3 linked regions of the Schizosaccharomyces pombe genome follow. Changing the gene in region 1 together with any one later gene gives a genetic interaction. Each region holds a gene or a part of one and is shown in the gene's direction. Other genes may lie near its edges. The genes, in order: btn1, rhb1 and ypt7.

Evidence for each region.
Region 2: of btn1 (region 1) and rhb1, changing one suppresses a phenotype caused by changing the other (phenotypic suppression), as found in Schizosaccharomyces pombe (one study listed by BioGRID).
Region 3: of btn1 (region 1) and ypt7, changing one suppresses a phenotype caused by changing the other (phenotypic suppression), as found in Schizosaccharomyces pombe (one study listed by BioGRID).

The regions. Positions count from the first base shown.
Region 1 is NC_003424.3:2,049,991-2,053,748, reverse strand, and holds btn1 (battenin CLN3 family protein), read left to right. Parts: upstream 1-2,000; 5' UTR 2,001-2,096; coding exon 2,097-3,287; downstream 3,288-3,758. Other genes in the region: protein Mil1, read left to right, coding at 3,589-3,758. UniProt on the Schizosaccharomyces pombe protein: Involved in vacuolar transport and vacuole pH homeostasis. Also required for cytokinesis.
Region 2 is NC_003423.3:473,033-476,518, reverse strand, and holds rhb1 (Rheb GTPase Rhb1), read left to right. Parts: upstream 1-2,021; coding exon 2,022-2,083; exon of another isoform or gene 2,084-2,142; coding exon 2,143-2,401; intron 2,402-2,455; coding exon 2,456-2,692; 3' UTR 2,693-2,849; downstream 2,850-3,486. Other genes in the region: wpl1 (WAPL family protein), read left to right, coding at 1-1,499, 1,540-1,592, 1,638-1,892; SPOM_SPBC428.15 (Obg-like ATPase), read right to left, coding at 3,080-3,486. UniProt on the Schizosaccharomyces pombe protein: Binds GTP and exhibits intrinsic GTPase activity. Regulates entry into stationary phase when extracellular nitrogen levels are adequate for growth.
Region 3 is NC_003423.3:3,146,677-3,150,434, reverse strand, and holds ypt7 (GTPase Ypt7), read left to right. Parts: upstream 1-2,042; 5' UTR 2,043-2,204; coding exon 2,205-2,285; exon of another isoform or gene 2,286-2,358; coding exon 2,359-2,682; exon of another isoform or gene 2,683-2,699; intron 2,700-2,744; coding exon 2,745-2,957; 3' UTR 2,958-3,339; downstream 3,340-3,758. Other genes in the region: protein Atg16, read right to left, coding at 1,252-1,683. UniProt on the Schizosaccharomyces pombe protein: Ypt/Rab-type GTPases are key regulators of membrane trafficking and intracellular vesicular transport.

The DNA.
Region 1 (3,758 bases):
AAATAAATAAATACAACACCCTAATAAGAGCGTTCCAGAGTTAAAGAAAGAAGAGTCAAAAAAATCGCGATATCGATACTAAACAAAATTGCGATCAGAAGAAGCACAAGGTGCCGAAAAAAAAATATTGACACAAGAAGATAAGAATGCAACAGTAATGATATTTGACAAAAATCAATCGGTAAAGAAAAGAAAGTTCGTACTAAAGGCTCTATATATACAAAAAAAATGCTGCTTTAAATATCACTCAAACCGAAACAATCGACTCTGTAAACAAACAGAAAAACAGTGCTTATTCGACAAAACATTCAAAAGTGTGGGGAAACTTTTATTAATCAGTTTCTTACTGGTTTAAACAAAATATAACAAGGCTGAGCAAAAAAAATAGGAGTCAAAGGCTTTACCAAAAGCTTGATGCGAGTGTTAACTCATTGAAGCGCACATCGTCCATCTTTTTTACTTGATGATCTACACATGATCATCTCTAACAATGAGGGAAGTTTTGCATTCAGATTATATGAGTTGTTTATACAAGTCGCATATGAACATTCTGAAACGAGGGTACGGAAATGATGGAATATACTTTAATAGTTTAAAGAGAGTTAAAATGAGTGCATCATCATATCTGGTATGCATTTTCGATTACAGGGAGAGGGTGGTACTGTAAAATTACCATTTTACAGCACGAAAACTCCTTTTGTTTATCAGTAGATTAAAAGGATACTCTCATTAGTAAGTTTAGTGGATTAAATAGTATTAACAGCATGTGCTTAAAAAATGTTGAAACATGTCGATGGCACTGTGATCGCATAATAATTCATTATGCTCATTGAAGTTAATATAAAACCAAAGGAAATCTAAGAGATTATAAGTCTCTTAGCTTTACTTAAAAGAGATTCTAAAATTCAAACTCTAAAGTGCGTCTGCAAACAGCTGTTTGCTGTAGCTGCTGGATTTATGAACCATGGTGAGGTGCGATTTGTAAACTAGAGAATGATAGCGAAACGCTCGTTAAAACGCCAATATCGCACTTTCTATGGACAGTATTATAAATTTGTAGTACAGCATCAAGCATAATATAATTCCCAGTAACTAACATAATGATCCCATTACTGTTAAATGTAATGTGTTATGGGTCAAAGCAAACAAGGCAAATTTGATAATGAACGAGATGATTTTTCGGTTCGGTTTCCAATTCGTTATTATAAACAGTCGTAACGGAGCGTCAAACCTTCATTTAGTAAAAAAAAAAAAAAAAAATTGACTAAGCAATACGAAATATCTATAGTAGATACATGCGTATTACTATTTTATATTATTGTTGAGCAAAGTGATAATGCAATAACGATGTTAACCGTAGTTCGGTAAAGACACATTCATACGATATTATATTCAATTTGTTTTGATTTACGATTTAGAGTTTTTAAACATAAGCAAACGAAGATCGGAATTAAACCAAAATAAATCTCGTGCCAAAAACAATAACTTCATAAGTAGAAGCTGTAGACACGTGAATAGAATATTTAAAGATGTTGTAATTGTTTTCCTGGGAGATTTCAAGAAGTGCTAACCGAAGCATGAGTAAACTAGGAGCTTTTCGATCACAGCAAGCAAGGCATGTCAGTTACTAGTCGTTGAAATTTTAGTAGGGTAAGCTTTAGCTTGATAGCGGTTGCTTGGAAAAAACAGTGTAACATTCAAAATCGGTTTCTTTTGAACCTGACAACATTACCGTAATAATTCAATCGCTCAATACGCCATTCGTGAAGGGTAGTAGCCTTTCTCTTACGAAGTTACTAAAAACTCAATTTTTTTTGTACCCTTAAGCGCTTACGAGTTCTTTTCTTCAACTTATTGCTACTCGAATAATAAATGTTAAACATATCTCGACTTGCTTTTCAGTTCGTTGATCCTCGCTATTTACAGTTTGTAACAAGTTAACTCGTCTATGAAGTCATCGATAGAAGGGCTTTAAAGTGTGCTATTTGCGAAACAACAGCAAATTTGTAGACTAGCACTTTACAAAAGTCTACTATCGTATTGCCGGTTCAAACTAAAATTTATGACCTCAGTTTCTACTAAATATAGTACGAATCATGATTAAATTGAGGTTAACAAAAGATGCGAAAGTAGGGTGTTGCTTCCTAATTTTTGGATTGTTAAACAACCTTCTCTACGTGATAATTTTATCCGCTGCCTTAGATTTGGTTGGCGCAAACGTTTCTAAGGGTGTGGTACTACTTTCTAATATTGTTCCTTCTTTGGCGTGCAAGTTGTCAGCATCAATTCTTCATGTTCATAAATTTAAGTTTGCAAAGAGAATCGGTTTTTGTGTTTTCATGTCCATATTAGGAATGCAATGGATTGCTTGGTCTTCCTCCGTCCCTTCGAAAATGCTTGGTGTATCTCTGGCAGCCATTTCATCGAGTTTTGGCGAAATCTCTTTCTTGCATCTATCAAGTCGTTATCACTCTGTGTCTTTACCGTGCTGGAGTTCCGGAACAGGCTTGGCCGGTCTCTTTGGTGCATCTTCCTATTTGGTTATGACTACATGGTTTAACTTCTCGGTACGCAGCACACTTATTATCTCTAGCTTTCTGCCGCTTTTCCTTTTGATCATGTACTTTTTTGTGTTGCCAGAGTCTGAATCTACATCACCTTCAATTAACAACAATTATACGCCAATTGAATCTATTGATCTTCGAGCAGGGCACGTTTCATTCAATTTCGTTAATTCTTTGAAGCAAACATTCATATTCATGCAACCATACCTTCTTAGTCATATGTTTCCGCAGTTCCTTGTATACTTCTCAGAATATACTATCAATATTGGTGTAGCTCCCACTCTTTTATTCCCGCCCGAAAAAGCTGGCTTTTCTTCGTTTAGGGATTTTTATCCTACTTACCAAACTGTTTACCAGATTGGTGTTTTCCTATCGCGATCCTCCATTTCATTTTTTACTGTCCCATATTTGCGCACATTGGCAATAACACAGTTCATTATCCTTCTATTTACTATACTACAGTCGGCCCTATATCTTACTTCCAGCTATCATTTTGTACTATTCCTCATATTCGTTGAGGGTCTTATTGGTGGTACCGTTTATGTGAACGTGTATCATAGTTTGCAGACTACGGAGAGTAGTCAGCGTGAACTAGCTATTAGTACTGTTGGCTCTTCAGATAGCTCTGGAATTTTTTTAGCTTCATTGGTATCACTATTCCTTGAACCCTCCTTGTGCCATTTCCAAGCTGATCGTGGCCGAGATTGGTGTGCCTTAACTTGAAATAGTGAGTGCGCACATCTCCATTATATTGAGAGTTAACCTATGACGTTTCTTCCATTAGTGTGCTAAGTGCTTCAATATCAAGTTTGCTTTACGACCATTTTCTTTCAACTATTGTTTACTTTTTTAGTTCTTAATAGGTTTGCTTTGAAAGAAGAAGTTTTTCATTCCTAATTCCTGATACCAGAAGTTCTTAAACTTTTGGTGCACAATTACTTTCTGCTGTGCATTCTATGCGAATCATATCAAAACATACATTACTTAATTTTTTCCTTTTCATATCTTCCTTCTTTTAGATAATATGGCAGAACAGAAAATCATATCCTTATTTGACGATGATGCTTGTACTCGTTATACAATTTTAATTGCTAGTACAATTGGTGAAATGCGAGAGAAGAAAGAGTCAATAATCGATAACACGGATCCTGAAATAGTAAAATATCTTTCTCAATTATTGGACGTCTTTAGAGA
Region 2 (3,486 bases), on another chromosome or scaffold:
GAAAAGAGGAAAATGTAAGGAAAAAGATAATGGTTTGAAGAGAATTTCTTCGGAATCGGAAGTTTGGAACTTTTTAGACGTGACAGTTTCAGAGTTAAACAAGCAAAAGCGCTCGCCAGGACAGACCGTGTCTAAACGACTGCATAAAAAGCAAAGGGTCGTTAGTAATCCTGATTTGAGTTTACCGTCTTCACCGGTAAAACAAATTTTAAGAAATGGACTTCAGAATTCAAAGTACGGTTCTCATAAGACAGGACTGGAAAGGTCCGCGAGCTGTAGTAGTATTGATGCTTCCGCAAACCATTCTTCCACTACCTATCGGGAACAAAGATCGTATTTGATGGAGGAAGGATTAGATACTCAGCCAATTGTACCCCGTGAAGTATCCTCTGGTCGAGAATTGGATTCAACCAACCATACTATTGGTACAGAACGTGCTTTTTTGATAGAGGAAGACGTATCAGAAGATGATGAAATTCAAATGAAAAGTATACATGAACTTCGCTTTGCTGGAGAGCAGCAAAGGATCGTTGATGAAATTGAATACTTAGTGGACGGAGTGACTTTCTCAGGTAACTCTTCTGCTTCTCGCTATTTGAGTTTAATAGGAATCGCTGAAAAAATGTTTGACAATTCATTTCGTTTATGCTTAAAGTCGATACGGGATGTCTTCTTGCGAATATTTGAAGAAATTGATCCTAAAGATACTTTACACACTTTTTTGCAGATTTATATATTTGCAACTATGGCTAATGAAATGGATTGCATGAGTTCCTTGCTTGATGCTTACTCAAACAATGTTAAACTTCTTTTGCAAACGGCTATTACTTTAGAACCGCAGGTACCGGTTTCAATTTTGGCAAAAAGCTTACCAAAAAGTGTAAAGGGAGCCGTTCAAGAATTCGTTATAAAGGCAGAGCTTACTTTTAGTTTTAGCAATGAGTCTCTTGCTTCTTCTGATTCTATCAGTCTTGCAGCTATCGCTCTTATGAAGACGTCCTCGGGAGTTTTTGCGGAAAGCGAGTTGTTTACCGAATTAATCAATCTTTTAATAGAAAAATCCTACCCCATCTTGAAGGAAAACGATGGAAGCAATAACTTCTTACTTCATGCACTTTGTAGTTCTTTAGAAAAATTTACGGATTTCCAGGGATCAGAAAAGATTCAGAAGGTTTCACAGATCTTATCCTCAAAGTTACAAATTTTAATTGATGAACACAATGAAACAAATTCACCAAAAATTGACGATACAGTTGTCCATGCATGCAGTGAAAAATTGTTGCGTACTTTGATTCAAACAGTTAATTCTAACAGTGATCATGCGTTAGCGGTTTCTAAATCAGAAGTCCCATTGTTTGCTTATAAAATTTTACAAAAGTTTTCTAATTTTTCGTCCGATGATGAAACTACACGAGAACTAATTATCTTAATCCTTGGTCTTTTACTAGGGCTAGTTGAGGAATCTCATGAGTTTATTCAAACTATCACTCATGTTGAAGGTAAGTTCCTTTTATTAATATTTTTACTAATTCTATTTAGTTTCTTTCGGAGCTTCAGCACTCGATGTCCTCATTTCGTTTTATCAAAAGAACGTAAGTTGTACTACTTCTGTTGTAAGACATTTCTAACAAATGTAGGAAAGTATCGTAGAAATTAGTGGATATGTCGTAATGATTTTAAGCCATTGCTTTTTAAATGATCCCAAAGCGTTTGCCCAACTCAAGCCTTTGATATCTCAGTTTTACGAATCTCTACATAAATTTAAAAATTTTCATTTGAAATTGAAAGAGGAATTAATGATGATGGGTTCTAATGGACTAGCCATTGTTTCTATAATTGATGAACTACATAAATCGTTGCAAGACTACTTGCGCAGTGACTTGGTAAAATGACCTTTGCGGCGCGCTGGGAACGTGACATCCACAACATCGTTGCTTTCACTCACTTTTTTTTACGATCACTCTATAGTTAATAATTTGCCTTTTTAAATATTATAATCTTGAAATTTTCTAATTTAAACAATGGCTCCTATTAAATCTCGTAGAATTGCTGTTCTTGGCAGTCGTTCTGTTGGAAAGTCCAGGTAAGCGTTTGATTGAAGTTTATGCGCAAATAGGTTTACTAACCATTTTTTTTAAATAGTTTAACGGTGCAATATGTTGAAAACCATTTCGTTGAATCGTATTATCCAACTATTGAAAATACATTCAGCAAGAACATCAAGTATAAGGGTCAAGAATTTGCTACTGAAATTATCGATACGGCTGGTCAAGATGAATACAGTATCTTAAATTCTAAGCATTCCATTGGAATCCATGGCTATGTACTCGTTTACAGCATTACTAGCAAATCTTCTTTTGAGATGGTTAAAATAGTTCGTGACAAGATATTGAATCACACTGTATGTCAAATTATTAGAATTTTTAAATTTTTTACTAACCTACTTGCTATTAAGGGTACTGAGTGGGTCCCCATTGTGGTTGTTGGCAATAAGAGCGACTTGCATATGCAGCGTGCTGTTACCGCTGAAGAGGGAAAAGCATTGGCCAATGAATGGAAATGTGCATGGACAGAAGCTTCAGCTCGCCATAACGAAAATGTTGCTCGAGCATTCGAGCTAATTATCAGCGAAATTGAAAAACAAGCAAATCCTTCCCCTCCTGGTGATGGAAAGGGTTGTGTTATCGCCTAAGCTTCTGCTTGAATTTATCATATTATGGATTAATTTATTTTAACTGAATTAACGATTTTATCTTTGCTAATGCAAGATATGGGCTTACATTACATGAGGTGATACTTTGCACACAAACGTGTTTTTTTACACATGGGTTTACAAGATTTCGACTCTTTATTTCAAATATACAAGTACCTAAACTATGGTTTTAAAATTTAGTCAATGTAATACATAGTGGAGAAAGTACAGCCAGACATTGTAGACGTAATTTGTTGAGTTAGCTCTTCGGAAGTTTTAAACTAACCAAATTAATTTTTAGACATAGTATTGTTTATTAACATCTATACAAAACTATTTTGAATATTTCCCAAAATCGACCTTTTACCACTTTTCTTCATGAATCACTTAAGCTTCAGCTTTCCGCAATCGAAAGTGAAGGATATCCGTTTTACCTGGGACAATAACATCAGATTCGCCGACGTTTCCATTTACACCCACAATAGACATTGCTTCTCCACCCAATACCATTTGAGATACCTGTCCAGCAGTCGTTCCTTGCTTCACTAAGATGCAATCTCTGAAAACACCTTCATTAGGAGAGTTTGCAAAATTGTGAACGTTTTTAACGGGAAAAACTGGAATCAAATTTAAAAGTTCCATTGCCTTTGCTAAAACATTACAAACTCCAGTTGAACCGTGTCGAAATAATACCATGTCTTGGAGGTCTGCGATACGGGTTTTAAGATTTTCGCTCAAAGGTTTCAAGCCAGAGTCAGGAAAATCGTCTAGCGTATCAACAAATTCAGAGCCCT
Region 3 (3,758 bases), on another chromosome or scaffold:
TTTCAAATTATTTTACAATAAATGCTTTATAAAAATACACTGGACGAAATTTAGGAAAACTAAAGTGAACAATTGCCCACACAAAATCTCATTGACAAAATTGATCGATTAACATTAAATATCAAATTCTAGCAGGCTACCTTGAATCAATAAACTACCAATCGTACTTAAATTTCCAATGATAAATGTATTCTTTGCTTACTGCTCTAACAAGCAGCACTTTATTTGATTGAATGCCAAATAGCAGTAGGGAAAAAGAGTGTATTGTAGGTATATCGTAGTCTTTAAAATTAAACCCTTGCATCAAATATTTGTCTTTGAGTATAACCCTGTATAAAACAAGTTATATTTCTTATTCTATTTCCTATCCTTCTAATTTTCTTTGTGTATACCTTAAAAGACTATGAACTAGTACTGAGTTATCCATATTGTCGCTCAGAGTAATGGAAATAGTAACATTCATTACGCTTAGATACCCAAGCTTTTATATTCAATCTTGCAAGCAATACAATATTTCTGAACTATCTAAATACTAAAGTTTAAAGAATTATGCAACTATTATTAAATTCAACTTAAAGCTTTGGGCAGACATATTTTGTTTCGCCGGATAATTCTTCGTTTTGATTACTCAGTAAGAACTAGATTATACTTTTGTTGAACCGTTGTCATTCATGAACCAATCTCATTAGAAGCATACAAGTGACGAAAATCAAATGTATTAAAGAAATGCATAATATTTTTTCAACCAATACTTATAACAAGACATCGCTTAAATAATAATACAGATTGAAAATTCAATTACTCGTAGGCGTTACCGATAAGGAAATAAAAAGGGGAACATAAGCTACTTGAATTGAGATAATCAAATTTACTATTTTGACCATGTAGAAAATGATATTCATGAAGATATTAATGCCGAAAAATCTTCATACAAGTAATTGAATGCTTATGTTTCCTCATTATACAAAGGACATATCCATTGACATAAAAATGTGCGGTCAACCACTGAAGAGATAGTCTATGCTTGTAACTTCTAAAATTGGAACGACGAGTACAAGCGAAGACCTCTCATTATGCTTTTAAGTATCCTTTTTAACTTGAAATCATCTAGAAAATATTTAATATTAATCCATAAGCATAACAAACATTTCGTAAAATCATAATTAGTGAACCTAGCGCGAATCGACGTTTTCTAAATTTAACAGTATAACTAAAATAATCTGTCGACAAAAAATTGAATCCCGGATAATTTTAGGCATTAGGAGATTTCCTCTCTAAAGCAGCTACCTCAAGTTGTAAAGCCCACAGCTCATCTTGGAGTATTTTAACCCGCTTATCTTTCTCCTGATTCAACTCAGTTTGTAGTGAAAGCTGTTTTTCTAAGAGTGTGTTTTTTTGGGATTGCTGTTTGAACAGCAGCTGCAGCTTTTGCAAATTCCTTTGATATAAATCACAATTCCTTTTCAATTGCCGAAATTCTTCTAGGTTTATTACGTTCTCGTCATTATTCTCACTAGCAATGGTGTTCAGAGAATCGCTTGACGCAGTCCTTTGGGTGACTTTCTCTTCACTCACAAACTCTTTGTGAAAACTGAATTCCAAAAGTTCTGAATATGGTTCTATGACATCGTAATACGCTTTCTCAGCAGCATCCCTATCTTGTATTTTTTTAATTAACTCCATTTAACACCAGTTAGATAGGAGACTGCGTGATATTCTCTTGAAGACAACACAAACAAAATATGGTAGCAACTTACTCAATACGAGACGAGATGAAAGAACTGGAAAAATTGACTACTAAATCTTGAAAAAATAAAATTTAAATAAAAACTTAGATTCCTACCAATGTATTAATAAATCATTACTGTTTTCGACAAGCATATAAGAAAGTTGTCAGTATACATCGGATTGCCTATGTAGTAATTATTTAAATAGTGAAGTTTACCATATTTCTTTTGATCAAAATACCCAAGCATGATGAAGTTCGTTATACTCATGACGTGAAAGGCATATGAAGGGTAGACTCACAAGCCTTGATACTCGCAGAGCAAACACCAAGGGAACGTGCGCAACTATTTCCGTTTCAAAGAAAGAAGTAATTTATAAATTTATTTTTTTTTGCAGATCTCAAAAGGATTCTTGGTTCAATTAGGACTATTGGCCTTCAATAATATATCGAATTATCTCGTTTTTACGCTGTAAATATGGCCGGCAAAAAGAAGCATTTGCTGAAAGTTATTATTTTAGGAGAAAGCGGTGTTGGAAAGACTTCTATCATGAATCAGGTATGTTTTTTGAAATATGTTAATGTTATGACTGTCATGTTTGAAATGAAAGTTATTGACCAAATCTGTTTAGTATGTGAATCGAAAGTTTAGCAAAGATTATAAAGCAACCATAGGAGCGGATTTTCTTACCAAAGAAGTTCTGGTCGATGACAAAGTCGTTACATTACAGCTCTGGGATACCGCTGGTCAAGAGCGGTTCCAGAGTTTGGGGGTTGCGTTTTATCGAGGCGCAGATTGCTGTGTCCTCGTTTATGATGTTAATAACAGCAAGTCCTTTGAAACTTTAGATAGCTGGCGCGACGAATTTTTGATTCAAGCATCACCGAGCAATCCAGAGACATTTCCCTTTATCTTGCTTGGAAACAAGGTCGACGTGGAAGAACAAAAGAGGATGGTATGTGTCTAAAGTATTGAATTTTTAATACAAAGCTGAGAATTTCTTGCTAATAATTTCAGGTTTCAAAATCAAAAGCATTGGCCTTTTGCCAAGCTAGAGGAGAAATTCCCTATTTCGAGACAAGTGCTAAAGAAGCTATCAATGTTCAAGAAGCATTCGAAACAGTGGCTAAGTTAGCTCTGGAGAACATGGATTCTGACGATATTGCGGCAGACTTTACAGATCCTATTCATTTAGATATGGAGAGTCAAAAAACTTCATGTTACTGTTAAACCCTATTCTTCTTAAAGCTACTTAATTAAGGACATTTCTTTGTATGGGTTTTTTCTTATTTGCATGATTGGTGTCTTATGATAGTCTTTGCCTTTTCTCTTATTTCCATTTTCTTCCCATTTATGTTGCTCTTCATTTAAGTGTTGAGAGCATAGAAACCGTTAAAGTATTTAGATCGGCCTTTTATTCGCAAAATGATTAACTAAGTCCGTGCACCTCTGGTACGACGTGTCTGCCTTTTATGTTATTTTTGCTTATGCCGTTAGCTTTCATTGATGCTCTATTATTTATCTGAAACTAGCTTGATCTAGCAAAATGAATTCTATTTATATCAACCTTTTAACATTAAAAACATTTGTAGAAATATGGTTGAAAAGAATATTCAAAGTTAGTGGCATCAGAAGATGTGGTTGTATTTAGTCAATTAAAATCCATAACTTGGAATTTAGCAATTAAGAATGGTTCTTTGGCTTGAACAAAATAAACAAAGCAAAAAATCCCAATTTGGCGCTTTAATCATCGTATAGTTTGAAAACGTAAGAGAAACTGAAATTGCGTACAGCTTATATAAGTTTGTTATAGATTCATCCTCCCTACCACCATTACTACTTTAAGGTGAGATTACTCGATTTACTAGAAAAGCTTCTTAAATGGACCTAATTTTATAATTATTTATTTTTGTGAATGATTTGATGAGAAGTATTTTTTTTAGTTTCTTCCAGTTCACTTTATAAATGCAATTTACAGTCTATCCATAATTTATCTTACTTGTTTTCCTTTCTTATTAATTATATCATTAT